Linked DNA regions of Neurospora crassa OR74A. The protein of the gene in region 1 purifies or fractionates together with the protein of each later gene. This does not show direct contact. Links are inferred from orthologs where the notes say so. Each region holds a gene or a part of one and is shown on either strand. Other genes may lie near its edges.

Region 1 (10,849 bases):
ACCATGGTGTCGTACTTGGTCACATCCGGTTCGGCGGCGATGACAGCCTTCAGCCCGGCAACCAGCTGCTTCTGCACCTCCTGGGGCTCATACGTTAGACCACAAGGCCTCACCTCCTCCTCGGACTTGACCTCATTCTCCCGGGTACTCTTGTTTTCCCGCTGCTCCTCCCAAGTCAGCTTGGAGATGGGTGCTGTCCAACCCGTTGCCTCAGATGGGTAATCCAGCAAGTCAATCATGCCCGGTCCGCCAATGTCCGTGTTAACCACATTCAACAGCGAGATACTAAATCCCAACCCATTCAAGCTCGTCATATACGTGCCGCTCAGGATCCTCACGGGCTTGATCCCATACGGTTGTTCCGCCAACTGCGTCACCACCTCGGTGACAATCCCGCCCATCTCCAACGGGCTGACACCACCGAGGTTGTTCACCAACAGCACCACCTCATTCGAATTTACGTTCACAAACGCCCTGTCCTCATCGTTCCGATCCAGCAACTGCTTCAGCATCTTCCCCACCAACTCCGGCAACCCAATCCCCTTCTCCCTACTGCTCCCTTGCTCATTATGAATCCCCATGCCAATCTCCACCTCGCCCTCCTTCAACACCTTGAACTCGGCGCCCTCCGCCTCCGCCCTTCTCCCCGGAACATGCACATGCTCCAGACTGGCGCCGACACTGACGATATTCTCCGCCGCCAAATTGGCCACCTTTGTCACCTCCTTCAGACTCCGTCCCTGCGCAGCCAACGCTCCCGCAATCTTTTGGACCAACACCGTCCCCGCAATGCCTCTTCTGCCTACTTTCCCAGCTTTAGCCCGTCCAACACCGACATCATCCCCGACAACCACCATCTCCACGTTCACCCCCGCGGCTTTGGCTTTTTCTACGGCTAGGCCAAAGTTGAGCACGTCACCGGTGTAGTTCATGACTACCACCAGGACCCCGCCCGCGTCCTCTCCTCTCTGTTGTTGTTGTCCATGTTCAGGAGAGGAGGAGGGCTCGTTGTTTTCAACCCGCCCCATGATCGCTGTACGGACTTGTTCGGCGGAGGGGGAAGCGAAGATGGTACCTGCTACACAGGCAGAGAGGAGACCGCGACCGACCATGCTGGAGAAGGAAGGTTCGTGGCCGGAGCCGCCGCCGGAGATGAGGGAGACTTTCTGTCTTTGGTTGGAGGAGGAGGAGGAGGAGGAGGCATTGCCGTAGCCGGGACGCAGGTAGACGATTTTGTTGTGGGCGTCGAGGGCGATGCCGGGGTTGAGGAGGGTGGTGGATTGCAGGGATGTGAGGACGAGGTGTTGGGGGTCGTTGATGAAGTGTCGGTTGGACATTTTTGGAGGTGGTTGGTTGTGAGATATTGGATGGATTGGTTTGGTGGGTTGGAGTGTAAGGTTGGTAAGATTCTCGTCTATGTATCGTAAAATATGTCCGGTAAGATGAAGACGTGAATGTTTATCAAAATTGGATAAAGTGGTGGTTCTCAGTTATATAAGCTGTCGAGCAGACGCTTCGGATATCTATTGATAAAGCAGATGATTCGAAAACGATGACGAAGTGGATGGGAGTCCGGGATGTTCTAAGTTCTGTTGAGCTTCAACAAGTTTGTTAACCGGTGGATGATCGACAGTCAGTGGATCAGAGGCAAACTTGGAAGTCAGAGAGAGTGATGTTTGGATAGGATTCAGAAGGAAAAGAGATGGAGGAGGGAGGATACCGGAAGACCCCTGTGTAGTGTTGAGGGGGACGAGACAGGCAAGGACGTGATGCTAGTATGAAAGCGGGGGGCGGGGTTGACGCTTCCCGCTTCCCGGGGTCTCAGAGTCGACTCGGGACCTGTCATTCAGTCCTCATGCGGGCCGCCTTGATGTTACATAAGGAGAAGAGATCGACGATGTTGTTGTCACTTTAAGTCGGAATAGAGAATGCCATGCTGATTACTAAGATTGTTGAAGGTGTTATTTCAGAGAATTTCAAGAGTTAAAAGAGACGATTGTAGAGATAGGTAGTTTGAACATGTGATGGTCATTGTTGAAAGCGCACTTCGCCAAGTATCTTTCGAACCCCCTCCCGCTTGCTAATTACTTATCACTCCTCAGCCCCTAACCCTTCAATTACCCTTTGTCTCCTCATCATCACCCAAAATCTCCTTGCTCCGATGCTGATCCCTAATGAACTCTTGAATCTGTTCATCGTGATGAGGACGGTGCGGTGGTACAGCGCTGAGGTCTTCTTCCTTGGGCTTCATCTCTTCTTGCTGCTGCTGCTGCTGCTGCTGCTTCTTTCCTAGTCCAATCGTTTCGCTAACTGATGCTGGAACGTATTCCGAGACTATTTGTTTTTGTAGCACAAGTAGGGATAGGTAAGCTTGGGATGTTACAAACGAATATTAGAAATCGAAGACTGGGTTGTTACATACTCTTGTCAACGATCCCGCTTCCTCCGCTTTGTTGGGGTTGTTGTTGCTCCTCTGGACCCTTTCTTTTCTGCTCGGCAATTTGATCAAGCTGGGGCTTGTAGTCTGAGGGATCTTGTCCCTCGGCCCCGGGTTGGCTGACGGTGTTGGGGTTTGTTGACATGGTGATGGTGCCGTGGAAGATGGATTGGTGGTGATGGAAGAGAAGAGAGAGCTATGGTACTAGCTTTCGATTATTGACAACTCAGGCAAGACGAGAAAAAGTGTTTGAGAAGGGTCTAAACACAAGAGCACAACTTCAGACGGGCAGTTTCATGGCTTCGATTGAGACATGAAGCAGGTGTAAGTGGTCACTATTTAGGTGGGGATGACGTCACGAAATCCATTCGTTGTACAAAGACAAATGTGCGCTTTGCTTCCGTCGTCTGAACTTTCATAACTACATTGTTTTCTGTTCATGCAGAGAAGATCCAGATACTTCAATTCATAGCAATGAAGATACATATCTTGTCCGACGAACACCATGGCACGTTCCAGTCATCGTCGACCTCAATTCACCATCGAGGAGGAGGAGGATGTCCTTATCGCCCTTATCGCCCGATCTTATCGGACCGGCTAGAAGCCCAGAACAGCCCACTGAGCCCACGAGCCCCCGCCACCTTGTCGTGCCCCTCCAAGCGGCGGCAAGACCCGACGCCAGAGGGCGACCATGATGCTGGAAACTCCAGGAACCATATGATTTTGTTATGTCTCTCTTCATATTGTTGTAAAGTTTTTATATATTAAATAGAGTCGCTTTTCTCAATCCTCTTGAACAATACATACTGTCGGTACTTTTATAAACCCTTCTTGACCAAGTTGGACGTCCCCGAAGTCGGATCGGAATCGAAAAGCTATTCTCCAGAGACCAGGGCAGCTTGGCGATCTTTCCCTTCTCTCTTTTACAATTCTGCAATCCTGGATTGCCCGAAATTTGCGACAGTCTTGACCTCCTACATACCTCAATTACAGGTCGCCTACTCTCAATTATCTTCCCGACATTCGATCGATCGACCTACCCCGAACTTTTCATCGCGACTTAGACCCTAGACGTAGTGTAGTCGCAGACTCGATCCTATACTTACGAAACCTACCCCTCCAACACAATCACGCAACAACCAACCAGCCAACCCACGAACAAACCACCACAATGACGCGCGACCAATCATCCCCTATCCCCATAACCATCATAACCGGCTTCCTCGGCTCCGGCAAAACCACTCTCATTCTGAACCTCCTCCCCCAGCTCCGCGCCGCCAATCCCTCCTACCGCCTCGCCCTCCTCAAGAACGAATTCGGCGATCTGGCCGTCGACTCCCAGCTCGCCTCCTCCTCGGCCATCGCCGGCGTCTCCGAGCTTTTGAACGGTTGCATCTGCTGCAACCTCGTCGGTCAACTCTCGGTCGCCCTTTCCGAGCTCCAGTCCACCGTTCGGCCGGACCGAATCGTCATTGAGACCTCGGGCTCTGCGTTCCCTGCTACGCTGGCGCTCGAGGTCAACCGGCTGGCGAGGGAGACGGGGGGCCAGTATGTGCTGGATGGCGTGGTGAGCGTGATTGATGTGGAGAATTGGAAGGGGTATGAGGATACTAGCTATACGGCGCGGATTCAGGCGCGGTATACGGATCTGATTGTGTTTAACAAGTGGGAAGGGGCGGGGGAGAGGAGGTTTGACGAGGTTTTGGATAGGGTGGGAGATTTGGAGGTGGACACAGCGTGGGTGAAGAGTGATAAGGGGTGGGTGGATATGTCGGTGGTGTTTGGGATTGATGGGGGGTTGGCGAGGGGTCTTACGGAAGAGGATGGGCATGTTCACGATGACAAGTGTGGACATGACGATAAGCATAAGCATGATCATCAGACGGAGGTGGAGGTGTTGAGTATTGAGCTTAAGAGCGGCAACAGAGAAGCGACGGTGGATGCGACGAAGCTGTTGGCTTTCTTGAGGAAAACGAACAAGGACGAGGTGTACAGGATCAAAGCCGTGTTGGCGGTTTCTGCGAAAACTGCGCGGGAGGTGCTGAAGAATTCGGATGAGGATACCAAGGTTCCAGTACCACCTACGTCCGCGGGAAGCGAAGCTCAAACGACGAGGTATATCCTCAACTGGGCGTTTGGAAGGTGGACGTTTACACCTGTTGCGGCTGAAGTCAAGGAGCACGAATCCAGCAGTGAGGCGATACTGAGGATGACCATGATTCTGGCCAGGTATGAGAGCACCAAGTGGAAGAAGAGACTGGAGGCTGGTGGGTTGTTGGAGCTTGAAGAGGAGAATGGGAAGGGCGAGTTGAGCGTTACCAAGGTCAACTAGAGAGCGGCACGTTTGATAGACGAGGAGCTATGGATTATGTATGAACGAACAATAAGACTTCGGGATAGAATAGAGCGCACCTGATGGGAGCAAATAGAAGCAGACGTCCCAAAGACATATTGACAAACTTCTTAAAAATTCAACATCCACTCCTCGCATACTCTCACCACAAGACACCTTGAACAAATCTATGGTTCCCATTCTGCCCTAGCATTGAGCGAGTAAACGGAGAGATCTGTCAAAACCCCTTATTTTCCATATCCCATGCATGTCTTGATCATTAACGCCTGCAAAGAGACTGACTGAAAAGCATCCTCAAAGAAAATCCCTAAACGCCGTTTTTGAATGACGACCGATCCGATCAACAAAACAGCAAAGATAATGAGCTAATCATGTTTTCACCGTCCATGCCACCATCGCATCTCTTTTCCCACCCCCCCAATTCAGCATCGGACGACCTTCGTAAACTTTCCTCCGGCAGTCAAGTAAAGTAAAGTAAAGGCGTGTCGGGAGTAGAGTAAACACCGCGAACAACCCCGTTAAGGCGGGCATCGATTCGATCAGTAATGACCGCCATTAGCGCCGCCGTTCACGCCGCCTCCCTGCTCGCCCTGGTCAGCATACTGGCGCAGGGCAAGCTCCTTCTGGAACTCGCGGCCCAATTGGCCGTACATGGCCACGAGCTGCTTGCACGCGCCAACGAGAGCCTCGCGCGGGGTGATGCTTCCGTCTGTCTGGATACGGATGAAGAGTTCCGGCACGTTAGGGTGGGCAACTAATAATTACGTGTCAGTCAGTTTCTGTTTATCTCGCCATGGGTGGTGGTGGTGGTGGTGGTGAGGGTTTGTGTGGGGAGGGGGGGTAAAGAGAAGAAAAGTAAAAGTGAAGTAAGACGCGGCGGTACGACGTGACGTACTCTTGTATCCTGCCATCAAGACATGAGGGGCCTGCTTCAGATGTTCGGCGAGGAGGTTGCCGAGGGTGTGGTCCTCCTTGAGAATCTTGAAGTCGGAGGTGTTCGACATGCCTATCCAAGTAATGGAAAAAAAAATCGGGGTCAGTTTTCTTGCCATTTCCTTCTTCTACTATTTCTTCTTCTCCCCACGTATCACCTCATTATCAAGAAGATGAGGAGATCGACTCGACTCACCAGTGAAAACCTTCTCCTCAATCTTCTTCTCTCCATCCTGGAGAAGGAAGAGCTCGAACCTGGTTGTTTTTGGAAGCAAATGTCAGTAATGTTTTCCTACTACCCAAAAGTGAGGTAATGATGAGAGTATAAACGGAAAGAAGAAGGCGGACCGGTTCGGCTCGCTGTTTTGCTTGGGATTGGCTCCGCTCATCTTGTTGATCTTGGTCCTGTTCGCTGTTGCCAGGTGACGAGGAGGGCATGGAATCAATATCCTTCTTGTCGTGATGGACTGTGTGCTAGTCCAAAGGGATGTTGGTTTGACGAAGGGTTTAAGTGGTGTATGAGGAGGAAGTCGTCCGCCTTTTATATCGTTGACAGCCAGCGACTCTCCATCCAGATTGAGTTTGGTCAAGGTGAATCCGTGGTAGACAAGTTACCCACCAACTCCCAGATCGCTAGTCTCCCAGCTGCCTCGCCTGCCTGTTGCCTTCCATTTGCGTCCATGGTCCATGATCAGATGAAAGCCGTCCCGTTTGTTTCGCGTTCAAAACAATAGGCACCTGGCACCAGCAACCAGACAAACACCGCCTACCGGAGGGGAAGATTGAACCAAGCTCGTAGACCATGAAGGATAGACACGTAAGGCTAAGAACTGGGGCGGACTATTCGAGTGTCTGCCTGTCCGTCCAGGTCGATTTGTTCCATTGTCGTACTGAGATGAGTTGACATTGCGGTTCCAGTCGACACCGGCATGTGACATAATGACTTTTGACATAGTCGTTATGATTCCTTGTCGAACGCCCTCAAGAGATTTAAGGCAACCCAGGTCGAGTGTTTCCGGCATTTGCGTGAGGCGCGTCGTCCAGGGCAGAAGGAAGAGGGGGGTTGGTTTCTCCATGTGGAAAGAAACCAGCAAGAAGAGAAGATTCTACTAACCTATCAGGGGCGTTCATTTTGGCGATTGGCTAACGATATGACGTAGAGCTCGTTGTTGGTTATCGGTGGTGTATAAACGATTGTCGTCGTCGCCCGATATCGTGAATTTGCGATATGGTGTTGAGGTTGAGACCGGGGGGTGACGATGTCAACTGCTCAAGAACGTCGAGTGGTTGATGTAGCAATTGTGTAGATTCGCTCTTATGGCGGGACCGGGGGAACGTAGGAATTTCGATACCCAAAATTGGAGCGTGAATGGGACAGACTACCAAAGGTTTCAGTCGCTCAGGTTTTGATACTGCTCGTCAGCTGGTGAAGGTTTTGATCTTGGTGAAGGGGGTGGGATGTTTTAACACAAGTGAACGCACTTGATCGATGTCTTCGAGGTCGTCCAGGTTGCGCATCCACTGTGAGATGGGGGCAACGCAGTTGGAGCACTGAACTCCGGATCAAGGTACGTGTGGTCTGTGCGCTCAGTTATTTCAGCGCCATCCCGCTTTTGGATGACTCGGTCCGCTGGGCTGTATACATACATGCTTGCAAGGGAGGGTTAGGGTTCAACAAAGAAAGAAAGCAGTGAGCTTGCTTGTTGGCGAAGCAGACGACGGCGACACACTGTGGGGAAGGAACTCTTTCCAACCATGAAATGAGGATGGTAGTATGCAAAGAGTAAACCGATATATGGAAGGTCATCGTAGCTACCACACTGTTCGCTCGAACACTGTTTGCAATGGGAGAGAAAGGCCGCCCCTCAAAGAGTCAGAGATTGTAGAGACTGCTAGGGAGAATAAACCCAGTAATGACACGTCAAAACAACAGTAAAATGACATCGACACCATAGACGTACAATGGGGAAAATGCCAGACTAATCAATTTATTCAAAAGTCAAACTATTCTCGCTCCATCGTTATGGTAACGAGCTTCTTCAAACAAACAGGGAAACGCTTCCCTCACGATGCAATACAAACTCTAGACATGCTTCTCGGCAACAGATTGCTCACTCCCATCAAGTCTACAGTGTAGTCCATCCCACAATCATCTAGTCATAACCCATATGTCTTGCTCTCATCATGTCGACCCCTATCCCATGATTTCCTTTCATTCTATACAACCATAATCATATCGTCGGATCCATTGTTCTTGATAAACCCCAACGCTCGTCCCATATAATCAAGAGGATACTCATGACTCATTCCGTGATCAATACGTACACGTTTGCACGCCTTTACGGGTTCAATCCCTTAGCATCGCAATAGCCAGGCGATTCTCCGCCCTCTCCAGCGCCGGCCCAGCTCATGACAGTCAAGGTAGTCGTGTACGCCATGGCAATGAAGCCAAAGACGCACAGGGCAACATCCGAGAATTTCCAGAGAGCGCTTCTGGCGACGCCCCTGTAGTGCAGCATCGGCTGTTTGTGACTGTGTTAGCGTCTGATTGATCATCTACACAAGAAGGAGCAAGGGTACGTAGCAAAACTCACCGGATAGATATACACCAACGGGATGCAAGCAAAGTTACCGACCAGTGCGACGAACTTGTCCAAGTTATCGGCACCCGCCCATGCAACCATGGCGCAGAAAGCGACGACAAAGAAGCGGAACACGTTCTTCTGCCACTTGATATACGGATTGTACTTTCCGCTCTTCGTGAAGAGTGCATTCTCCGTGATCCTGATGGCGGGGAAGATCTGCAGTGGGGTCGAAAGCAGGATGGCGAGCGAGTAGAGGAACTGCACGCCGTTGACCATTTTGTTGTCCTGGGGCAAGTTGAGGAGCACGACTGTCTCGGTCTTGGAGCCGTAGGCGGCATAGGAGACGGCGCCCATAACGGTGAACAAAGTGGTGATGATGATCATGACGACGGCCATCACCTTGGGGAACTTCTCCGGGTTTCTCATGGACTCCTGGATCGGGATGATGAGGCCGATGCCCTCAAAGGTAAAAATGGCGGTGCCGATGAAAAGGGTCCAGTCCTTCTGGTTGAACATGATGATGTCGGCCAGGCCCGAGGTGTTGAGAGTCAGGACGTCGTAGTAGAAGAGGTAGGCCAGACCGATGACGATGAAGGCGTCAGCAATAAGCGCAGTGAATCCCAATTTGCCAATATCACGCAGCAGCGAGAACGGCAGGAAGATGATCATTTGCATGATAATCAGCCATGATATAGAGATGTAGGTCTTGCAATTGGTGACGGCAAGGATGAATGCTTGCAAGTTCTCCGACGTGAAGACGATGTAAGCCGCCACGAAACCCAGTTGACTGATGACGATGGAGAAGAGAATCAGGTTTCGCATCCACTTGCCATAGAGAATACCACCAATGTCACCAAAGGATCCTTCCACCTTGAGGCGAGTGGAGACGAGGAGAACAAAGCAGTAGTAGCTCAGAGCCGCCACGAAGAGGAGCACGGCGTTACTAAAGACCATGCCGCCGTTGAGGTAGGCTCTGGGGAGGAAGAGAACACCTGTACCGACGAAGGACTTGAGGAGAAGCATTGCCGCGCTCATGGGACTATTTCGGCCACTCCCACCACGCTCCTTCCTTCTCCTCTTACGTCGAGACGGCGTTAACAGTGTGCTGTCCTCCATGGGCTCGTGATCATCAACAGAGCCCTCGTCACTCCACCACTCGCCCTCGTCGCTTCCGGAGGTGAAGTATTCGCCTGGCTGGAGCACTTCATCGTCTTCCTCGAGTTCCTCACCGGCGAAATGTCCGTACAAAGAAAGGAATTCGAGGAAGCTAGTCGTCAGTAACCTCGGCGGTGGCGCACCCTGGCCCGCACCGTTTTCGGAGTCGTCAGGATGAGCCGAGGGGTCTCTCGCGTTTCTCCGCAGGTAATTGCGCCGGAAGCCACCAGGGACTTTGATTGAGTTGATATCCAGAACCTCATTTTCTGGCTCGGGCCTGGGGTAGCTGAAACTGTGGCTGCGCTTGGCCTTGTTGCGCTGTTCTATCTCCTCCGCCCATCTGTATATAGGGCGCGTGATGTCACCACCCTGTAACTGCAAACTCGAGAACTCATCGTCGTCTTCGGCAGGCTGCTTGCCCTTGGATCTCTCGCCTGTCTCCTCCCCAGCGCTATCCCCAGGTTGGACCAAGTGTCTCTTGATGATCTCAGGATCTTCGTATGCTCCGAAACCGTTGATACCGGTGGACGGTAACCTTGATCTTGTCTCGAAGGAGCCGTAGTTCGTGGTGGGCGTCGCGGATCTTTGGAGCTGGGCAGCCGAAGGGGCAGGGGAGAGGGCGCGCGCAGGAGGAGTGCCAAAGCGAGGTGGCGAGGCTCCGTAGGTGTTGGACAAGGCAGCGGCTAGAGCAGAAACACCGGGGCCAGCAGACTGTGACCCGGCGCCGGGAAGTGGTGGCAAGGCGCCAGCATCACCTCGCTCTATCGGAATAGGTGTTGGAGTGCCAGACGGCTGTTGTTGTGGTAGTACGGGCGTGGCGAGGCGCGCGATGCTATCAGCGCGTGGTATCGACGTGCCGAGCTCACGGGCGCGAAACGAGCTGGGACGGAAGGAGCCGGGGCGAAAAGAACCGCCGGGCGAAGAAGGGCGGACGGGGATATTACCCGGGACCGGTGAGTTCCTTCCCGAGTCTTTGCCCGCATTCGACATGGCCGTTAAGCAGTAGAGGTGGTGCCTGTGGTGATGATGTAATGGTAGCCCAGACCTCTTTCTAGAGCACAATCGGCGTGGAGATACTGGAGCGCAGTTCAGTCCGTGGTGTCGGAGGTAAGGTCAAGGCCAAGGTCAGAGACTGGAGAGAGAGATAAAGATGGTGACCGTCCGTGTTTCAGATACGGCTCTCTGTTTTCTAGCGGTGGATGGAAGGATGCCTGAGCGAAGGACTGTTCGATGATGGCACGCAACGAAGACTTTGTAACAAGTTCTTATTGCTAGAAGTGGGAGACTAGGTAGTTCTAGGTAGGTCGATCTTGGGGTTGTCGACGCGTGTCCGAAACACTGCCGCAGCACTCTCAGTCGCTCCGTCTGCTCCGTTTACTTCAGCGC
Region 2 (10,385 bases), on another chromosome or scaffold:
TAGGCCCGCCAAACTCCGCGCCCGTCTTGGCTTCGTACGTGGTCGCCAGCCCAAGTTTAAGCATTTCCAGCCCAACGTCCTTGCGCAGGAAGAAGGGCGGTTTCCGAACGAAGACGGTCGCAACGACCCGGTCGTACTGATCCTTGCGGTATATGCGTGCCCGCACGCGCTTGCCGAGAATGTAGTTTCGGAGCCACTGGAGGGCTTCGCTCGAGTAGGGTTGTGCGGGCCGGCCGAAGTGGGCGCCTTCTGGGGCGTCGATGCCAGCGATGCGGATTGGGATCTGGTAAAAGCGGCACTCGAGTCAACACTTTATCGCCGCTCATTCTTTCATTCACATATTACATTTCGTAGTGTTGAGGACTGCGCAAAGGCAAACTAACCGTTCGATCCTTCAATTCCTTCCTAACCATTGGCACCCTACGCAACCAGCCCCACCCCGCCAACCGCCCGCCGGGCGTGTGAAAGAAATGAAAGTTATCGCCGTCGCCTACGCTCGTCACCTTGCCCAGCAGCGTGCGCCGCCGAAAGAAGCCGGGCGAGATATATGCGGTGCCGCGAAAGCGGCGGAGAAACGAACGCCAGATGCCGAAGAGCGCGAAAGCTCCGATGGTCGGAAGGGTGTAGAGCACGATCGATCGCGGTTCTTGGTAGTGCTGCCAGTCGATAAGCGTCCAAAGCGAATCGTTCCAGGAAATGGCTCTCTTTTTTAGTTGGGGCGGGATGGGTGGTATGTCTGCCATATCTGCGGCAGGCGGCGGCGCACGCTCCGTTGGACGAGGCGAGTTGGAAAGGAAGTTCGAAGGCATGTTGTGGATGCCATGATTGCTGTGGTTGACGCTTGTTGTTGATGTTGTTGATGAATACTTGGTCGAAGAAGAGGGTGATGGAGTTCCCTCATCCTTCCCGGTAGGCGATGCCCACAGACCCCATGGCATCGTCAAGAGCTGGGGGAATGGGGAAAATGAGGAAAATGGGGAATCGTAGCGGTGATGTCGGTTGCGATGCGCGTTCCTGCGTTATGCGATACGACGAACCGGTTGGGGCAGGCAGGATTTAAGGGACTCAGTGCACGGTCCTCATTCCCCGATCCCCATATTGCTTGGCGTGGATTGGCTCTACCCGTGTACATAGTGTAGTAGGTCCAGCGCCCTTTTGACAGCAGCGCCAAGAGTGGCCGGTCTTCCAGCTGACTTGGACCCCCTTCCGTGATCCGTCGTTCTGTTCCCCAACCCAACCAACCACGGCACTTTTGTCGAAGCCAGGTGATCAATTTAGGAGGTCACGTCGCTCATGGTCAGTTCGTGATTTGTCTCATCCGAAAAGAGCGATTCGCTACATTGACTGAGCTCGTCTTCATGGCTGAGTGGCCGCGGTGTCTCTTGATCACTACTTAACGGCTGCTATTAGTGGCAGCTCCTTGACAGGACTCAAAGGCTGGGCTGGGTAATTTCAAGCTTACCTAGCACGTAAGGGACCGTGGTCTTTGACGATGACATGTTGAATTTGTAAGGAGCTGCTGCGAATTGGAATTTTCGCTTTTAGCTTCCTTTCCAATCGCTTTTTCGGTGGATTTGGAGATTTGAGAGGTTGAAGGCCGATGCTAATGCCGCCAACAAACTGTTCGTTTTTCTACGCGAATTGTTACTACCAGTCTGTTACAGGCTCACTCTCGTTATGAGGACCAGGAATAACCATGGTAAAGGGAACCTCATCCAAGATCATTTAGGACTTCACTCCGAACTAGAGGCATGCTCCCTCACCAACTCCATCATATTTCGGAAATGAGCTTGACTCACCTTGATCACTTCATTAGGATCGATAAGATCCATGGTTTCTGCCTCCTCGACATCACCGTCACCCCCACAGTCGTCGACAACTCCCACCTTCACGATACTTCCCCTGTTCATTGAGGCAGCAGACTCAACCCCCCCATCACTCCAGCCACGCTCTTGAACCCCAGAAGAAGCCTCCCGTAGGTCCTGGATCTTGGCTAGCAACTCTCTAGTCAACTGGATCCTCCCTCTGATTTCATCAATAGCTCTATCCGTTGTTGCTCTTTCGAGGGCGCAACTCTCGCAACACCTGTCAACTCGGTATGTTGAAAGCGGATGCGTCCACATGACATTGCAGCCTTCGTCGATCTTGCCTTGGTCGAAGTTGCGTTCTGACTGGCACTTCTTTGTTATGCCTAGCCAGGTGAAGTGGCCGCATTTGCGGTAGATGAGACGATGATGGATACACATATCTAGTAGGTGTTGTGTTGTTGTCTGATATTAGTTTGGACAAAGGGATGGCACGTAGTGAAGGATAAGTACTGGTATCAGAAACATGATGATGTTTGGCACACATGGTATTGGCGGTGGACATCGCTGCTTATAATGTTATTCATTCCGTGCTGATGGAATGAGAGTCTGGTTCAATGTTTCAGCACAAGACAAAAGCAAACCAACAGTATTGTTATCTGAGATCATGTTCTGAACATAGCAGAAAATCAGTTGTGACATGTTTGCGGACAAAGACTTTGTATTGTCAACACTAGTGGTGCCATTGATTGGTCAGAGAAATGAGGACAACGAAAATTAGAGACAAACACACATGTAATAAGTTCCAAGGTCTGCTTTTGATCAAACATCAAGATCCTATGGGCAAATCCTATCATTGACTTTCCTTGGCTTTGTGGTTCAAATACATTGGATGATAGACATGAAAGAAGTTCCGACTTGTCATTGGTACCGTAGTCTAAGAACCATGGACTAAGGGAGGGCATGAATACCTGTGGCTTTCATCGCATTCAACAGATATACACCCAATTATCAAGCTTGAAGTCAACCCATAATACTGTTTCCTAAAACCTCCTTGAAATCTCTTGCCCATGCCAACTTTATGCCTTCCCGACCCTCCGACACATGCGGCACCTCAAAGCCCAGCCTCTTTAGGGTCCCCAATAACGTGCTCTGCTCCTCCTCACCCTCATTTACCACAACGATCCCTGTATCCGCTCTCAACAAACACTCCAGATCCGTCACCGAGTCGCCAAAGTACACGCTTTTACGCTTTTTGCTCTCCCCGGCTGCCTCTTCCAGCAGCATCGTCTCAAACCCCTCAAGTTTATCCTTAGCAGTCATCATCACCTTCCCGCCCATTTCCTCCGGTCCTTCCAGCTGTCCGCCAGGCCACTTAATCTCGTTAACCCTCTTAACAAACTCACTCCGGTCCGGATCTTCAGGTTCTATCACCCCTTCAACGAACGACCTGGACCAGTTCACGCTCACTAGCCCCAATTTGTCTCCCCTCGCCTTAGCTTGTTGCACAAACTCCGAAAATCCCTTTCTCACCCTCACTGCTTTCCCTTCATCCCCGTCCCAGTCGGGATTCCATTCCTCGCCAATCCGTCGAGCCTGTCTCCCAAACTCTTCCCACTGCTCACTTGTCAACCTGGCAAAGAACCCTGTATTAACAACTCTCTCCGCACTAGACAGTTCAACGGTTTGCAAGCTCTCTAGGTACGCCAGCTCCTGCGCTAATAGTTTTCTATACTCGGCTTTGGGGACGTATAACTCTTTATGCTTTGCGTAGTCGGCGAGGTATAGGTCGACTATCCGTTTCCAGTTTTCGGAAGCACTTTGTTGAGAGTAGGCGCAACCGCGAGACGAGATGGCAAATTGAGCGAGCACGTTGATAGTGTCTTGCTGGGTAACGGTACCGTCGAAGTCAAAGACTATAAAGCGAGCCATTCTTTTGGTAAGGTTGCGGGTTATGCTTTGATGAGCGGGTTTCCAGAAAGGCATTGAACTTGAAAGGAGGTTGGCTCGGATCAGAATGAATGTGGCTTTATTTAGGGTTCAAGTTGTGCTATCCCGAAGGTGGGTGGAGGTAAGTAGGTAATGGAAACTCCAGGTGAATTGTAGCCAGGACAAGAAGGAAAGCACCAGTAGCCATAGCATTTCTTGGCCAGTAAGAATCGGGAATGATTGACATAGGGCCCCACTTCATTTATGGATAATGTTGTTGACCAAAGGATCGCCCAAAGAGTTGTACCAACGTCACGCATTGTGACTAACACTTGTAATGTAAGAGCCTTTGCATAACCAACGACTGCAACGCTTTGACGCAATTAAAGGAACAAATAACCCAAACTGGAAAACCGACTCTTGTTCATTGATGCAACGGGTATCATTGTATGAGCATGGTCTTGAAAGACCGCTCGTCTTGCGAGCAAAGGAAAAACGCAGCAAACCCAGTCTACTCTAAACGCCTGACGCAAAGTAAGTGAATGAGTCAGAAGGAAGATCGCATCCATCATGACAGCGCTCAGTCCTGTCATCTTAAAACAGGACGTCCTCCATCTTGATATCGTCGTCGTCCTCGTCCTCAGATGCGATTTCGGGTTTGGGAGCCGCTTCGTTGGTTGGTGCCGGCAGGTCCTTATCAGAAATCATACTTTGGTATTCCGGTTTGAGAGACCAGTGGTTTGCAAAAGTACCAGTTCGGTGAATAACGGCAATCTTGTCCAAGCACTCTCGAATGAACGCCTCGGGCTGAGGAATCCGAGAGCGCAGCGCCTTGATGGACCAGTACATGTAGACGGAGAAGCATTTGGCGAGCTCGTCGAGCAGCTGGTTCTCTGGCCAGCGAGCTGTCTTGTTGTCCATCTTCTTGGCCTTGCTCGGAGCCTCGGTCGTGCGCTATTGTTTGCTATTAGTGAAAGCTCTAGTGGTGATATGTCTTCAAGTACACGCACCAGAAATGTTTCCCAACCCTTGGGATCCGTGATACCATTGGGTGGCAGACGATCCAGGACCTGTACTGTATGTTTGGGAGCCGTCTGCTTCTGGCCTCGGGCAGCAAGCGCATAGTCTGTCTCGGGATTTTCCAAAGGAGTGGCGACAACCTCACGCTTGATTGTTGCTGCAATCGCCGTTTGTTCTGAACTCTTAAGTTAGCACCTATCAAGGCAGGCCAGTTGAGATTGGGTGTAACGAACTCGGGATGGCCTTCTTGGTGTACTGCTGTCCCTTCTTTCCGCGCTCCTGAGGTGGCTCCGACTGCTTCATCTGCTGGCGCACAAGGTGTGCAGGTATGCCCTGAGCTAGAGCCTCAGCCCGCTCCTTGTTCTTGGCGGCATAACTTGGGTGATCATGTTCACCAAAGATGAAGGTGTTGTTGACGTTGGCATCCACCATGTCGAGGTTGTATTCCTTGGGAATATCGTAGTGTTGTGGAAGATCGTCGAGGAGAATTTGTAGCTTCTGAAAGCCCAAACAGTCTCAGTAACCTATTGAAAACGTAGTGCTCGTCAGGGAGTGCTGCTACTGACCTCCGGTTGACCATCTTGCACAATTCGACGAACTTTGCCAATCTGAATCTCAGCATCATCGGGAAGCGAAGCCCATGCTTGCCAGACATACCCCGGAAGGCGAGCCAGATAAGCGTTTTTCAAGGGAAAATCATTAGGATCATAGAATCCCAAGTCGGCTGATTCGTCAAGCTCGTCTTCGGCGAAGGCTGCGTCCGGGTCAGGCTTAATTCTCATTGGATCGGCCATGATTGGAGTTGGTCGCTGTGACAAGACTAGCAAATATTAATATGTGCGTAAAATGGCCTTTCGTTCGCTGGTTGTCGGCGTCTTGTGGTAGCGTGGACGGAAAGTTGGGGCGTGATTGTCGTGGTCGTTGTTGTTGTAGAGAGGTTGCCTGGTTGAAAGCAGCCGCGAACGTCAACGTCAGGACAAAGACCGTTGAACCTTGGATACGTACCTGTATACTATTATGTAAGCCGCTACCTGATCCTAGCGCGACCCGCTCTCCCGCAAGCGGAGCGGCTAGTGGGGTCTCTGGTGGCAAGTACTTAGCTGTACCTAGGATCCTGCATACATCTTTCAGTTAAAGGTTGACTTCAGTCTGGTGAAGGCGCCTGTGGTTTTGGATTTCTCTGAGGGCAGTTCAAACTTGGAGTCTCATAGGTTGCAGTATGGCTGTCTACGGGAGCGTTCTTGTTTGTATCCGGCGTTATTTTTTTGGGCGTAAAGAAAGGAACAGAAGTGGAAGTAAGGTATGAAGAGTGCCTTGGGTCTTTTTGGAAACAAGCCGATGGTAGCTGATTAGGAGGAAATGTGAGCTCACCACGGGGCATTGAGGCTTGGTATCTTGCATAAACTGCTTTCCTCGACGTAGGTAGTGTCCATACTATCATATGTGCACAGCATAGCTTCCCAATGTTCAGGTCCTGCCTGGTTGGTCGTGCCCTGACTGGTTGACGCATTACTTACTTAACTCCATGGCCTTCTTTCTCTGATAGCGACCTTGGCCGTTTGTGATTGGCTGACCTCTGGCGCATCCCCCCTCAAAAGATCACTGGCAGTTCGCCGCCGTCCTTGAACATCCGAACCAAAATCCTTCTTGCACCCATCATCCTCTGTTTTGCGCGCCGCCACAATCATCCCAACAACAACGTTACCTTATCGCATCGAACAAACGGCACCAGCAACATCGCGACCTTTATCATATTTTCTTCAATCTAAATAACCGACAAAGACCGGTACTGCTTGATCGTGGAACGTGACCGCAATATACCGATACGCTTTTAATATTGAAATTGCAGCAACAGCTACTTGTATTGGCTCTTGGATTCGAACAAAAAGATAACAAGATGACAATGTCTGCCGAGGAACACGAGCTGATGGAGAGGATTGCCCGTGTGGCCGGTCAGATCAACCAGCACAAAAATCAACAAGCAGGCCTTGTTCCGCCGCAGAGCAGCCACGCACCACCGCATCACCGTACGTCCGTGGAGTATCATAACAGCAACCGTGCTGGTATTGACGGTCTTGAAGACTCAGGTTATTCTGGAAGCTGGCGTCATCAAAGAGGAGGCTACCCATACCCGACCCGCGCCCATTACACCAAGCCTGCCCACCGTCACAGGACCTTGGTGCTGAACGGCGCGTCTCAACAAGGTAAAGCAGGTCCGCCCAGTTCAGGCGCCGCGCTCGACTCGTCCCCGTCGTCCTGGGTAGCAAAGAACGACCGTCACCTTCAAATCATCAATTCGTCCATCTATCATAAGGAAGCGCAGGCTCGCACTCGGGCCATTGAGCAAACTCTGCGCCAGAAGCAACAGCAGAGAGATGATCTGGAACGAACCAAGTTGATCAACCATCTACACCGTGCTGGCGATCGGTCGGCAGCGGCACCAAACCAATATGAACTAACCGTGCAGGGTATACGTTTTGCCGTTACGAAGAACGGAAGCAAACTTGTCAAGATTCCCGGTGCGTCGAAACCGCGGCCAGAAGTGCTGGATGTGCCGAATACTCACCCTTTCACAGGCGATCTCAACTCAGGGCCGACCCCGAAAATGGCTATCGTAGGCGGTGTCAAGTTCTACCGCAGCAAGAACGGGAATTTGTACCGCCATGGTATTGTTAAAGCGCAGCGGTATGTGGCCCGGTCCCTTTTGAATCATCCGCTAATTCTAGTTTGCGATAGGCAATCCGGCGCTTTCAAGAAGGTCAACGTGCCTTGTCGCAATTTCTCCATGACCGGTAACTCCAACTTTTCAGATTTCGGAACCTTAACCGACACCACGTCGAAATGACTGGGTCTGGTAAGTCCAAACGATGTTTATACTGACATCCCCCGCAGGTTCATGCACCAAAGGCCCTCGGTGCCGATATATCCACGACCCAGCCAAGGTTGCCATTTGCAAGGACTTTCTCCAACAAGAAGAATGCATCAACGGTGACTCTTGCGATCTTTCGCACGAACTCTCCGCGGAACGCACCCCCACGTGCTTGCACTTCATTAAGGACAGTTGCACCAAACCTGACTGCAAATTCACTCACGCAAAGGTGTCTCCAGCTGCCTCGGTCTGCCGAGAATTTGGCCTCTACGGCTACTGCGAGAAGGGTGCAAGCTGCATCAACCGCCATGTTTTCGAATGTCCCGACTTCAGCAACACTGGCGTGTGTAATACCAAGGGCTGTAAACTGCCGCACCGGGAGAGGGCAAGCGTCTTGCGCAGGGTCAATGCCCGCGACGACGCGGAGATGGAGGATCTATCCAGCGACGACGATTCAGTCGATAGCGACGATATCGACTCGGACGACGTTGACGAGTTTGTTGGCCAGGACGACGATCCTGACTTGGATTTCGCCGAGCAAAAGGACTTCATCAAGTTTTGATTAGTGCAGTCCTGGCTCGTTTGTTTTGGTCCTTGGTTTTTCCTAAGCCTTGCTGGCTTATTGATACCCTTTGATGTTTCTGTTTTCTGTAGCGCAACCCGTTACACTTTCCGGGTTGGCAGTGGGTATAGGAGGATAATAAAAGTAAAAAAAGGAGGAAGAGAAAAGCAAAAGGAAAAAAAAGAGAGAAAAGAAGATGTCACTCTGAAGAACAGCCAAGACTAGGCAATTTATTATAGATATAGGAGTGCATGACCGCACTTGGTGCATGATTACAATGATTGGCCTGTGGTGAACGTCGACCTTGATGTGCTGCGGCAAGCTCCAAGCAGGTACCGCAAAATGTTATCCTGTTCATCCAATGGCTGCTGAGAGTTAGTCTGCCGAGAGCTCAATAGCCACACCATCACTGCCATTCCTTCTTCACTCGGGCCCGGAGTATCATAGATCAATCACCCCGCATTCGCAACCTTAACCCCATATGCTCTCCGCTAAATTATACTCGTATGAATTCACCGCTGCCTAACGAGAGTTTAGCGACGGGATGCCCTTCTCTTGGGCATCCGGATTTCTGTTTAGAAGTAACTCGCCGCTTACACTATCCAAAATCCATGTAATCACTCCTCTTATGACCCCTTAATGCCGTACACGTATATAGATCAGCACCTGCAGATGTCCCACATTCCATAATACTACTAGTCTCATGATCTTTCTATACCTAACTCCCACCTCCTCTCCCGCACTCCTGTGGATAGTCAGTAAGGGACTAAGGAGCACTGGGGTTTAGGCAACTAAAGCAGTTTTATATATATACTACGTTCTCGGATTCACAACTACAACCACTCAGATGGCGCGGATGTAATGAAACCCAGACCAAGACCCTTGCACAAAGCACTAGTCCATGACGCAGATCGAAGGCCTGCGGCCGCCGTGCGGTTCGGTTGAGCAAAGCCGTTACCGAACCGTCCTGAGTCCGACCAGGGGTATTTGATTGTGAGGGGTAGGAAGTGGTAAGTTTCGGCTCATGGTATGTTTGATGAAATGTATATATACAGAGAAAGAGAGAGGTTTGGAGGCAAATACCTTGGCTGCTGGTCTGTCTTCGACTATGAGGTTGACGATCTAATACCTACACCCTTTGACAAAACAAATACGTCGCAACAAGTATACGTCAAGAGATATCAGTGGAGATGGCTACAACTACGAACGGGCACATGGACGGAAGTGACCTCAAGAAAAAGTTTACACTTAAAGACACGGTAGTGGAAAATCTTAGACCGTTGAGGGTAGTTGTCATTGGCGCTGGGTATAGTGGTATCGGGGCAGCGATTAGGTGAGTTGCTTCCCTACCTCCCGCTTTAGGCTGATGAAATAGTTGTACCACCGGTTCAATACTGACAAACATGGGTGTGCTGTGAAGAATACCAGAGAAGCTACGAAATGTCGAGCTAGTGGTCTATGAGAAATACGAAGGCGTCGGAGGGACATGGTAAGTCCACGCTTTTCCTCATGAACTCATTTGGACCGCCAGTCATTCACCAAGCAAAGACACTGATACTGCAAGAAACAAAAAGGTGGGTGAACACATATCCAGGTATGTACGACCTGGTCGTGGTCCCCAAACAGGAGTAGGAAACCAAAGCAGATCAACTAACCGACAGCTAAAACGAACAAAAGGCGTCGCCTGCGACATCCCCTCTCATTCATACCAATTCTCCTTTGCGCCCAACCCGAACTGGTCCAACCTCTATGCGCCAGGCCACGAGATCCAGAAATATCTGCAGGACGTGGCTGAGAAATTCGGAGCGACGAGGTTCATCAAGTTATCACATAAAGTGGAGGAATGTGTCTGGGACGATGGGCAGAAGAAATGGTTCGTTATAAGTTCAGACCAGTTTCACACACGTCAAATAGAACAGACAGGCTAATAGAACGTGAACGGAAAGGCAATTCAAAGTCATGAATCTGGTTACCGGAGAGGTGTTTACCGATTCGGCGAACGTGCTGATTACGGCTCGAGGTCAGCTTAGCGAGCCGCGATGGCCGGATATTCTGGGAATTGACCAGTTTAAGGGGAAGAAGATGCATTCGGGGGCGTGGGATAAGAGGTAAGAGGTTGTCTGACTGGCCTTTCAGAGGCAGTCCTGAAAAGGTGTCGTGCTAACTGACCTACAGTTATGACCTCCGCAACAAGAAGATC
Region 3 (10,071 bases), about 180 kb from region 1:
TCGTTTAACTTATCATCTTCATTGGACCAATTTGCCTCCCCGAGGTAGCGAACGGACAACTCGTCGACAAACAGCAGGAGTTCATCACCATTTTCATTCTTGGACACGGCTCAACTCCTGTCAGTTTGACTGCTGGATTCATTACTTTTTCATCATAGGGAAAGGATCAGTTGAGTCGATTGCGAACGCTTGACTTCATGGCTTCCTCGGAGATCGACCAAAAGTTTCTTGGCAAGCTCGCCCGGCTAGTCGAGAGTGAAAACCCCCTGCTTTCCTCTGTCCTGTACAAGATTCTAGGACTTTCGATAAACCTCTCGAGTCAGCTCATCACCGCACGAAAACAGCGCCGACAAGACGGCAGCTCAGGAAATCCTCCATTAGACCTTCATCTTCACATCGTCTGGTTGTCACGGGAGGGGTTACTACTGCTCGATCAATATGTACTGCCATCGGCAACGCTAAAGAAGAATGTCGAACTCAAAATCCTAGCATACAAGCTGCTAGCTTCATTCTATCACATTATCGTCTTGTTTCACAACACTCCACCTGTTACAACGATAGGAACCAACACCCCGGAAGGCCAGTCAACAAGCAGTGTAGCGAATGCCAGCGACAAGGGAAAAAGGGTAGCAAAAGGCAATGACACATACGATCACGGTGCTTCAAGGTCGATATCTGAGGGGGGGCCCGTTGGTCCACCCCCAGGTTTTGGTCCGCAATCACCAACAGCCTTCCTCATGAAGCCCGGGGACTACCTACCACTGGCCCAGCAATGCTTCAAGGAAGCTATCCAGCTCGCGGAACAGCACCTTTGGGGATCACATTCGCTACGGCTTTCGGTCAAGACAGAATACGCAGCCTTCCTATACGAATGCGTTCACGATGCCGAGGCTAGCCGAAGACTCGCAAAGGAAACCATCTCGGAGGTGTATGAGGCGACGGAAGGCATCGACAACGACATGTTTAACGATGCGTGTGAGCTCGTCACAGTCCTCGGGAAAATGATGAAGCGCGGTTTGGGGTCGAATAATACTCTACGAAGCAAGGGTCACGGAACATCGAATTCTGGCTCGCAGGGAACACCCAGGATCGAGCAAATAGAAGCCCAGGCACCAGTCACAGCTCCGCCAGGGATGATATGAGCGAGAGAACTCGGCATTGGTTACTTTCCACCCTGTCGGCAGCGCTCTGGAAGGAGGACCCAAGTCCAGATGTCAGAGAGAAAGCCGTTGAGGATGCTCATCACCACTGGAGCCAGGCACGATCAAGCACCGTGCCATCGCAGGGATATGCCAACAGACTGAACCTTCCAGAAACCTGGCTCAATGCGTCAGTCACCGAGCAGCACGAACAACTTCGAATCCCGGATGCCGATCTTGCATTATGACATCATCGCCTATATACTACTATGCAGTACGTATATCAGCCTTTTGTTGTTATCCATGCCGATTAATACGCTTTATTTGGACCCACGGCATTCTATATTACACGGGACATATAACCATCGTCCGAGAATCAGAAACCATGCCATTTTCAACATGAGAGTTTGAGCGCAACTTCTCTTCTATCTGGCGGTTTTTGGAGTTACAGAGCGATCGCCTTTGGTCTTCATACGACATCAATATGTCATTTCACTTACGGTACAATCATGTTCTGGTTTTTCTTGTATATACTCATTGCCTTCTTTTGTTTTTGTCAATTTGATACCCAAACGCGTCCGTTTCGACCGATGGTGTCTTTTTTTGTGGCTTTTTTGCGTTTGATGTCTTTTTGCTTTTGGGTGAATGCGGGAAATCTCGGTTTGATGGGGTGGCTGTTGTTTTTGGATACTCATCATATGTCAGCTGTAGTTTGCTGTCAACATAACTGTAACTGTGTAAATACTGCTGAAAGATCGTCGACAGTTGATGGATCCGTTACAAGAAATGAAGAAGCGTGGTCGTAAGAAGGTACGAATGTGCGAGGAAACTCAGTCATTGTAACCGAGAGAGTGAACGATAAGCATAGCACCAATTGATAACCAGAAATACCTTTGCATAAAGGTGAAAGTGGGGATCGCGATCCTGGTCAACCGGAGTGTCCGAGAGAAAACCAATAAAAAAAGAGGAAAAAAGAAAAAAGACGTCGTCGAAGAGTACAGAAAAGTGTAAACCTCGAGCAAGCCGGGCATATACTCTATCACAGCGCAGACCAAGTCCGTTGTATGGCAGACCTCTCCGTAAGCGGCCGAAACACAATTTCCGAGGCACAGTGTCATCCGTAGCATCAAAAATACCCCGTTGGGAATCAGATTCCTTTGTGTAAACAAAGCGAAAAGGGGTGATCCTCGACCAAATGGGAAGCATGTCTGGGTTAGGGTTGTTGGTTGATCGCTTCAAATGCTTGGCATTCGGCATGTAACATTTGTGTGGCGGCTGGCAATCGGGGCCTACACTCGAACCTTTACCCGTTGCAGAACATCAACTTTCCAACAACAACGCAAGGTGGTCGAAGAGCGAAACACCACGATTTTTGCTCCAAGTCATCCAACACTACTCACTCACCATCTCCGTCACATAGTTAATCTTGACCCAACGCAACTTCCAAACCGTCATCCGCCGCATCGTCCTGTACTGTACCGAGCGACACCCTCCGAAAACAAAACACATACAACCAATCACCTCCCCCACCCGCCCCGACTCGCGCGCAGCGGAGTCCGTAATTACCCATTCACGATGCCCAAAGCAGAAGTCGGCTCCGCCAAATATCTGGCCAACAAGATGAAATCCCGCGGCCTCAACCGGCTGCGCTGGTACTGCCAACTGTGCGAGAAATCCTGCCGCGACGAGAACGGGTACAAGATGCACTGCCAGTCGCCCTCGCACACGGCCAAAGCGCTCGAGGCGGGCGCCAACTTCAAGGGCGTGCAAGACACCTTTTCCGACCAGTTCCTCAAGGATTTCATCGCGCAGCTGAAGACCAGCCATGGCGAGAAGGAGATCCACATCAATAAATTTTACCAGGAGGTGATTGCGCGCAAGGACCACGTGCATCTCAACGCGACCAAGTGGCATTCCCTCACAGAGTTTGCAAAGTTTTTGGGCAGGGAAGGGTTGTGTAGGGTGGAGGAGAAGGAGGGGGAGGGGTTGTTTGTGGCGTGGATTGATGATTCTCCCGAGGCGATGGAGAGGAGGGAGAAGGTCAGGAGGAAGGAGATGATGGATAAGGGGGATGAGGAGAGGGAGCAAAGGGCTTTGAGGGAGCAAATTAAGAGAGCGCAAAAGGATGCCGAGGCGAGGGGGGTTAGCTTTGATGCGGAGGAGGAGGAGAGGAAGGAGTTGAAGAGGAGGGAGGGGGAGAAGATTAAGTTGAGTTTTGGAAAATCGGCCACAACAAAGAAAGAGGAGCCCGGGTCGGGGTCGGGTGAGGGTGAGAAGGGTTCGACATCGGCGGCGGCAATGCCAACACCGGGTGCTGGGGACGGATCGGTTCCTCCTGCTGCGGAGGAGAAGAAGGATACCGTGACGCCACCTTCGACAATAACGAAGACGACGACGGACGGTGTAAGCTCTGAGCAAGCAAAGGTGGAAGCAAGTTCAAAGGGCGAAGAGGCCACTGCCAAGACGACGGCAGAGGAAAGCAAACCCGCGGTTGACTCGACTGCTGGTCCTGCTGGTCCTGCTGCTGCCGCTGCTCCCGCCACGAAGCCGGTATCTATGAAGTTCGGCATGAAGCCCCAACCGAAGAACGTCTTCAAGAATGCGTTTGCTGGGGCTCCCAAGAAGGTTATGGCTGCTCCGCCCAAGAAGATGAGCGAGGCCGAGAGGATAATGAAGGAGGAGTTGGAGCGCAAGAGGGCTCGCGAGGAGAAGGGTGGGAACTTTCCCAACAAGAAGCCACGCTTCCAGTTTTAACATACTGTGGAGTCTCACGTGGGTAACTGGTCAAAGGTTATGCTATCTCCGGGTTTGGCAATATTTCGGTACATGTTATAGGGGCGTTTTCGGCGTGATGGGAAATGTTTAAAAAAAAGATACCATATTGCATTGGGGTTTTCGTAAAAGGGATCCGTAGCTGGATGAATAATCTTCCATATAGGTTAGGTAGTGATAAACTCATTTGTATGATTGTTGTATTTCGCTGCAGTGTGTAATTATAGCCCTGGGTTGATCATGCAAAACCCAAAAAATGGCCACTATCCTGCTGTCTAGACCACGCCCTTTAAACCAGCCTTAACGCCTTGAACTCCTGTTGCCTTCCCTTTAACAGGCATTCCGCATTCCGCTCCTGGGTTGTCTGTGAACGATCTATTATCGGTCCCTCTTCCTTCTTGCTTGTCGGTTCTCTTTCCTGCTTTCTTATCCGCCCTATTCCGTCTTGTTTTCTTGCACCGCAGCTTCGAGTTTCTAGTCCGCTTCCGTCGCACTGCCATCGCGCCTGCTCCAAGTTAGTTTCTGGCTGTGCCCCGAAAACCCCACGATCATAGCCTGCTTCGCCAGACCACACGAGTGTAAGCAGGAAACTTACGGGATATACTGAATGCCGTCATCCTCCAACGTGGTGCGCACGTCATCCGGCAACTGGCCCGACACCTTGGTCGCGTATACACCCTTCACATAACCGTCCAGCCTCTGCCACTTCGCCACCCACGACTTCTGCGGGTTGGCAATGGTGATGATTCCTTCAAAGACTTGCGACGTGCAGCTGTCGATCTGATCCGGCGAGCCCTGGAGATGGAGGAAGTCTTCGCAGTTGGGGCATCCTTCGTCACGGAAGCGCTATGACAAAAACAAAAAAGGTCAGAAACTTGTCGGTCATAGAGTGACTAGAAACGAGGAAGGGCAGCTCGACTTACAGCATAGGTCATGACGATAGAGCAGACCATGCAGGCACGAAGGTAGCGCTGCTGGCCGGGGGCAACGTAGTTCTCCGACATTTTTGGGAGATGTGTAGGGATGGCGATGTTACTGGTAACTTTGGGGGCGGAAACCGATAACTCACTCGTCTACGAATAGCTGAGCGAGTGAATGAATAACTGGAAAAGGACACTTGACGAAGGAGGGTGATGTTCTTTAGAGGAATGCATGTGAACATCGATAAGTTGTTCTCTGGAAAGAAGATCGGCCGCCTCTCTTGCCTGCCGCGTCGCGCCAGCGCAAGCTCCAGGTCTCACAGCGGGCCAGGAGTTGACATGCAAGGGGCGCACGGTCCAGGAGCTAGAGAAGCAGGAGAGAATGTGGGAAAGGTGGGGGCCGAAGTGGAAGCTGGGGCCGATGCCTGGAGGTGGACAGTGGAGACACTGCCGTGCAGTTGGGCTGGGCGCCGTCTCACACTCATCCACAGTTCAACTCTGTTCGCCGAGTCCGGGGCGTTGCATCCGAGTTCCATTCAGTTGCCAGTGGTCGCCCGCTTCTTATCGAGCAACCAGGTGGATGGCAGCTGTGCTTTTTGGCCCAAGGGAGGACAGTCAACTGCTGCAGTGATACTCTGATAACTGAACTGAGCTCTCTACCTACCCGTCATTCTCTCGACTTCCACTTCTTCCACTTGTTTCGCGCATCCTCGATTCGACACGACTCGAATCATCACATCTTCCAGTTTGCTGCGATATTGCCTGCTCCAACTCTATTACGACACGACACCTGACAACGTCGTTCGAATTCCCAAAAACCACACAACCACAGCCACGACCAGCGCTGGCGTAGCATGCAAAGCCCCTCGACTGTCAAACCACCTTCTATCCGAACTCGGCCAATTACCCCGGAGAGTGGAAGATGAATTGATTGCACCCGGTGGACGCATTGTTGAACAGGTGTAGCAGTAACAGCAGCAGACCGCGGTAGCAGCGAACCACCTGTGACGACCCCGTTCGACCGACCCGACCACCACGGCGACCCCATCCCGTCATCAGCGCCAGCGATCGAGCTAGGGAAAATGGGGAACAACCCCTCCACCTCCAGAGACTCCAAGACCCCGAATCCGCAATCCTCCTCCTCCTCCTCTCAATCGCAGTCTCAGCACCAGTCGCTGGCTTCCATCCAAAATGACTCTGCCAGAGCAGTGAAGCGCGATACCAAGCACCCTATACCGGTCCCAAATCAGCGAGTCGCTGCCCCTCCTGAGCCCTCCTTGACCCAGGCCCAGGGCACCGCCGTCCAGCCGCCCTCAACCACCGCTCGTCCCAAGTCGCTGCACTCGCGAATGCCACCTTCTCAGAGCGGCTCGCCGGGCTCGTCGGTGCCTACCAGCTCTGCCACCCCCACCAAACCTGTCGAAGTAAGACAGCTGAGACCCGAAGACAGTCATGAGCCCGCGAAACCTGTAGCCGTGCCCACACCCTGCCACGCCTCGTCGTGCTCACCTAGGTCGCCGGTGCGATCACCGCTATCAGAGAGATCGGATGCCTTTGAGACTGCGGCTATGCAGCTGAGCAGTCTGCAAGATGTCTCGTACCTGACCAGGCCGCCGCGACTACCTCTGCCGATCGAGGAAGAGGTCCACACACCCGGATCGCCTATCATTGCCCCGACCGACATTGGGGTCCCACTCGAGGATGCCGACACTTTCACCGCGCTCACCAGACGCTCTTCCAACTTGAGTAACAGCTCAACTCTGGACGAAGAAGACACGGAGGAGCTACGGGTGGACAAGACTAGACCGACTGTCCCCACCAGGCTCGAATGGCTCCGTGGCGGCGAGAAGGTTTACGTGACAGGCACCATCTTCCAATGGAACAGGAAGACACGATTACACCCGGTGTAAGTACTTTCTACATCCCGGCCACTTTCGCTCTCAATACGGATGGGGCCTTGCTGACACCGCTACTCGCCAACAGTGAGGGCCGACCGGGTGTATTCGCTGCTATTATCAATATCCTGCCGGGCACACATCACGTTCGCTTTCTGGTTGACGGGCAAATGCAGACCTCGCCAGACTTGCCGACCACGGTAGACTTTGGCAACAACCTGGTCAACTACATCGAGGTCAGCCCTGATGATGTGGGGCGCACCGCTGCCCAGGCAGCTGCTGCAAGCGCCGCCAAGGATTCCCAGCAACCTACGGAGCCCAAAACCTCCGCGTCCGAGACGGAGGAAAGCAAGGCACCTAGGGACCGACCTGTCCCTCCGGCGGAGCTGTTCGAGAACAAGATCCCGCAATATCTACTCGACTTCGACGCACCCGAGGAAAGTCCACCTTACCTGAGTGCTGTCAACGCCATCGAGAAACTCCCAACGCCGCCTGCGCTTCCTGGCTTCCTCGGCAAGCCCATCCTCAACGCGGCCACCTTGATCAAGGATGACAACAGCGTTCTGAACATGCCCAACCATACCGTTCTTAACCATCTAGCTACTAGCAGTATTAAGAATAATATTCTGGCTGTGTCGGCCACGACGAGATACAAGAACAAGGTTCGTCTCCCCGTATTTCGTAGCTGCATCTTTTTGCACGTAGTCGTTGATGCTAACGGACTGTACAGTATGTGACGACAATCATGTACAAGCCAACAACGACAGAGGGCATCTGAGTTTGGAATGCTAGTAGTCAGAGCTGGGTACAGTTGGCTGGTGGCTACCACTACTAGACGAACAGCGCAAGTCATGAGTAGAATAGCGGTGCATGATGAACCGCCCAGTATGACCTATTCTAGATATGTCTACAAGTAATGTCTATAGGACGCTGTAGCGATGACGAGGACACTTTATGGAAGCGGGCGCAAATTGTTGTCGGCAAACTGTCCATGGGCATCCTGCTCCATTAAGGGGGCACTAAGGGACAACAAGAGGCGCATATAGAGTGGCTGCCGTGGATAGAGTAAAGGTTATGGGATTTGGGGGTATCGTCGTAATGGTCATCTTCGTCTTCGTTTCCTTCCTTGTCATTAGTCCCTCCACTTGACGAAGACTTCGTCGGTTCTGAAGCGTTGTGTACATGTGCTTTCATCAAGCGGCGTCCGGAAGCCCGTCTCGTAGGCCAATAGACCAGCATGAGCAATCATGATGCCGTTGTCGATGCAGAACCGCTCGTCGGTGGCGTAGACACTTCCGCCTCGCTCCGCTGCCATCGCGCCCATCATCTCCTGTAGCCGCTCGTTGCAACCGACACCGCCAACAATAAGAACCTGGTTGCTACCGACGTGCGCCATAGCCCGCTCGGTGATCTCGACAAGCATGGCAAATACCGTTTCCTGCAAGCTGAAGCACAGATCTGCGGGTGTAAACGGTTCGCCGTCGGGGCCCGGCTCGCCCGCCTTCATCTGCGCCGCCAAGTCATCTGCCCGCCCCAGGATTCCGCTGAACGAGCAATCCATTCCCTTGACCGCATACGGCAAGTCCAACAAGACTCGCCCACCTTGCTTGGCCAGCTGCTCAATATTGTACCCGGGCGCCGGGTCGTTGCTGATCTCCAGCGTGCGCGCGAACCGGTCCAGGCAATTACCCACTGCAATATCCAGCGTCTCGCCAAAGATACGGTACCGCTGCTCCGCGTACGCAATCACCTGCGTATTACCCCCGCTCACGTACAGCACCACCGGGTTCGACGCCCCCGTTATCGCCCGCCCCATCTCGATATGCCCGACACAGTGGTTCACGCCCACCAATTCTTTACCCCACAGCAGCGCGAGTGTGCGGGCGCCCACGGCCACCGACGTTAGGGGCCCGCCCATCCCGGGCCCCTTGGTGTAGCAGATGCAGTCGATTTCCGAGATGGAGACCCCCGACAAGGCGAGCGCCTTCTTGGCTACACGCACAAAGTAGGCACGGTGGTGTCGGGCTGTGTCCTTGGGAAGGAAACCGGTGCCGGGAGGAGAGACGAAGGTGTCGCGCACGTTGGACAGGACAAGGGCTTCGCCGGTGATGGGGTCGTGCGCAATGATGCCGATGCCGAGCTTGTTGGCGGAGCCTTCGCATCCGAGAGCGATGCGGCGGCCTTTGGCGTCGGGCATTGTTGGCTGTTGGGGCTTTGTTGGATAGAGCGAGGGAGGGAGAGGGTTTCGGTTACTTGGTGAATCGGGAGCCGGTTGCTTCGTATCAGATAACTCGCAAGGATATTTCGTTGGGGATGTTTATCGAGGACCTTGATATCCTTTGGTTGTTGATAGGCGTCGCGTCGCGTACTGAATAGGATGGATGGATGGATGTTGTCAGTGCCACATCCAATGCCAGATGTCAGATGGAGAAAGTGATAATGGAGGGGCACCTTTTTAGAGTGGGGAAAATTTCGTCGCGTCTGTGAATACCTAGGCTAGGCGCGCCGTAGTGATCAAGGTGACGAAACTCGAGATCGAGATGAAAGAGGATGTACATACTTATTCCCCCAGCGGGCCGGTATCCCGTCTCCTAAAACCGGTCGACATGTTCACTACTTGTAACGATGCTTTAAAGCCATTCTCGCCCGTTGTTCTTCTCAAAACAAGGGAACGGCCTCGCCATGGGAATCAGCAATGGGATTTCGTCAGAGCCTTCCATGGAGTCGATGAGGGGTTCAATGAAATGTGGGTCCCCGCAGCCGCTTGTGCACAGTCGAGTGGGACCTTTATGTTGCTTTGGATGCGCAATGCAATGTTATGTAAGGCAGGCACGTAGCGTGGCTCGTGCGCTAGTAGTAGCAACGATTTCTATCCACATATAGCCGCAACGGCGCAAACTGTGACCATGGATGCATGAGTTGTGTAAAAGACACTAGAAGTTTGATTATTTCTAGCTTTTTCGCCATGAGCTGATCCAACAGTTCCATTGCAACAAATATGTGCAGATGAGCTTACGTGATTTGACTTGCTCTGTGGAAGTGCAAAAAGGCTCCGAGCAGTTCGGGGTCTGCCGAGCCTGGGCTTGGGGCTCTCTGCACGGGACCCCACTGCACCGAGAATCAATTCTCCCAGCCAAGCGAGAGTCCGCAGCCGTCCAACCATCTTCCATCCTCCGAGCCTGTATCACCCAACACCTCACCTCGTTGCCGCCAAACCCAAACCTCCCAACCGCACGGCCAGACCTGCCTCTTTCAACAGCCCAGCCGACTTCTTCCTTGTCTTCACCATCCTTTGCCTGCCATTTCTTCGGCAGAACATGGCCGGGCTGCTTCTTGTTCGGTTCT

Evidence for each region.
Region 2: the proteins of NCU03782 (region 1) and NCU03047 purify together in Saccharomyces cerevisiae (affinity purification with mass spectrometry; 6 studies listed by BioGRID, with this or other methods). This does not show direct contact. The link is inferred for Neurospora crassa OR74A from reciprocal best matches to the Saccharomyces cerevisiae genes RPB11 and TFG2.
Region 3: the proteins of NCU03782 (region 1) and NCU03838 purify together in Saccharomyces cerevisiae (affinity purification with mass spectrometry; 3 studies listed by BioGRID). This does not show direct contact. The link is inferred for Neurospora crassa OR74A from reciprocal best matches to the Saccharomyces cerevisiae genes RPB11 and SPT4.

Annotation. Positions count from the first base shown.
Region 1 is NC_026505.1:2,386,156-2,397,004, forward strand, and holds NCU03782 (DNA-directed RNA polymerase II subunit RPB11), read right to left. Parts: upstream 7,239-10,849; 5' UTR 6,855-7,238; coding exon 6,838-6,854; intron 5,979-6,837; coding exon 5,920-5,978; intron 5,797-5,919; coding exon 5,686-5,796; intron 5,545-5,685; coding exon 5,330-5,544; 3' UTR 4,891-5,329; downstream 1-4,890. Other genes in the region: dak-1 (dihydroxyacetone kinase 1), read right to left, coding at 1-1,337; NCU03780 (hypothetical protein), read right to left, coding at 2,114-2,334, 2,423-2,582; NCU03781 (CobW domain-containing protein), read left to right, coding at 3,609-4,769; NCU03783 (transmembrane domain transporter), read right to left, coding at 8,063-8,245, 8,318-10,453. UniProt on the Saccharomyces cerevisiae protein: DNA-dependent RNA polymerase catalyzes the transcription of DNA into RNA using the four ribonucleoside triphosphates as substrates. Component of RNA polymerase II which synthesizes mRNA precursors and many functional non-coding RNAs.
Region 2 is NC_026501.1:8,296,082-8,306,466, reverse strand, and holds NCU03047 (hypothetical protein), read right to left. Parts: upstream 5,682-10,385; 5' UTR 5,549-5,681; coding exon 5,321-5,548; intron 5,253-5,320; coding exon 4,988-5,252; intron 4,930-4,987; coding exon 4,745-4,929; intron 4,689-4,744; coding exon 4,329-4,688; 3' UTR 3,974-4,328; downstream 1-3,973. Other genes in the region: NCU11241 (nuclease domain-containing protein), read right to left, coding at 1-283, 384-938; NCU16461 (hypothetical protein), read right to left, coding at 1,734-2,246; NCU11240 (hypothetical protein), read right to left, coding at 2,829-3,737; NCU03048 (CCCH zinc finger protein), read left to right, coding at 6,652-7,273, 7,331-7,439, 7,491-7,546, 7,647-8,185; NCU03049 (flavin-binding monooxygenase), read left to right, coding at 9,376-9,518, 9,606-9,674, 9,760-9,779, 9,863-10,058, 10,132-10,293, 10,361-10,385. UniProt on the Saccharomyces cerevisiae protein: TFIIF is a general transcription initiation factor that binds to RNA polymerase II.
Region 3 is NC_026505.1:2,568,403-2,578,473, reverse strand, and holds NCU03838 (transcription elongation factor spt-4), read right to left. Parts: upstream 5,259-10,071; 5' UTR 4,916-5,258; coding exon 4,835-4,915; intron 4,758-4,834; coding exon 4,507-4,757; intron 4,417-4,506; coding exon 4,386-4,416; 3' UTR 4,066-4,385; downstream 1-4,065. Other genes in the region: NCU03840 (hypothetical protein), read left to right, coding at 198-1,142; NCU03839 (APF1), read left to right, coding at 2,715-3,893; NCU03837 (Snf1 kinase complex beta-subunit Gal83), read left to right, coding at 5,914-6,737, 6,815-7,388, 7,457-7,504; NCU03836 (O-sialoglycoprotein endopeptidase, variant), read right to left, coding at 7,859-8,923; NCU03835 (hypothetical protein), read right to left, coding at 9,596-9,659, 9,743-9,834, 9,927-10,071.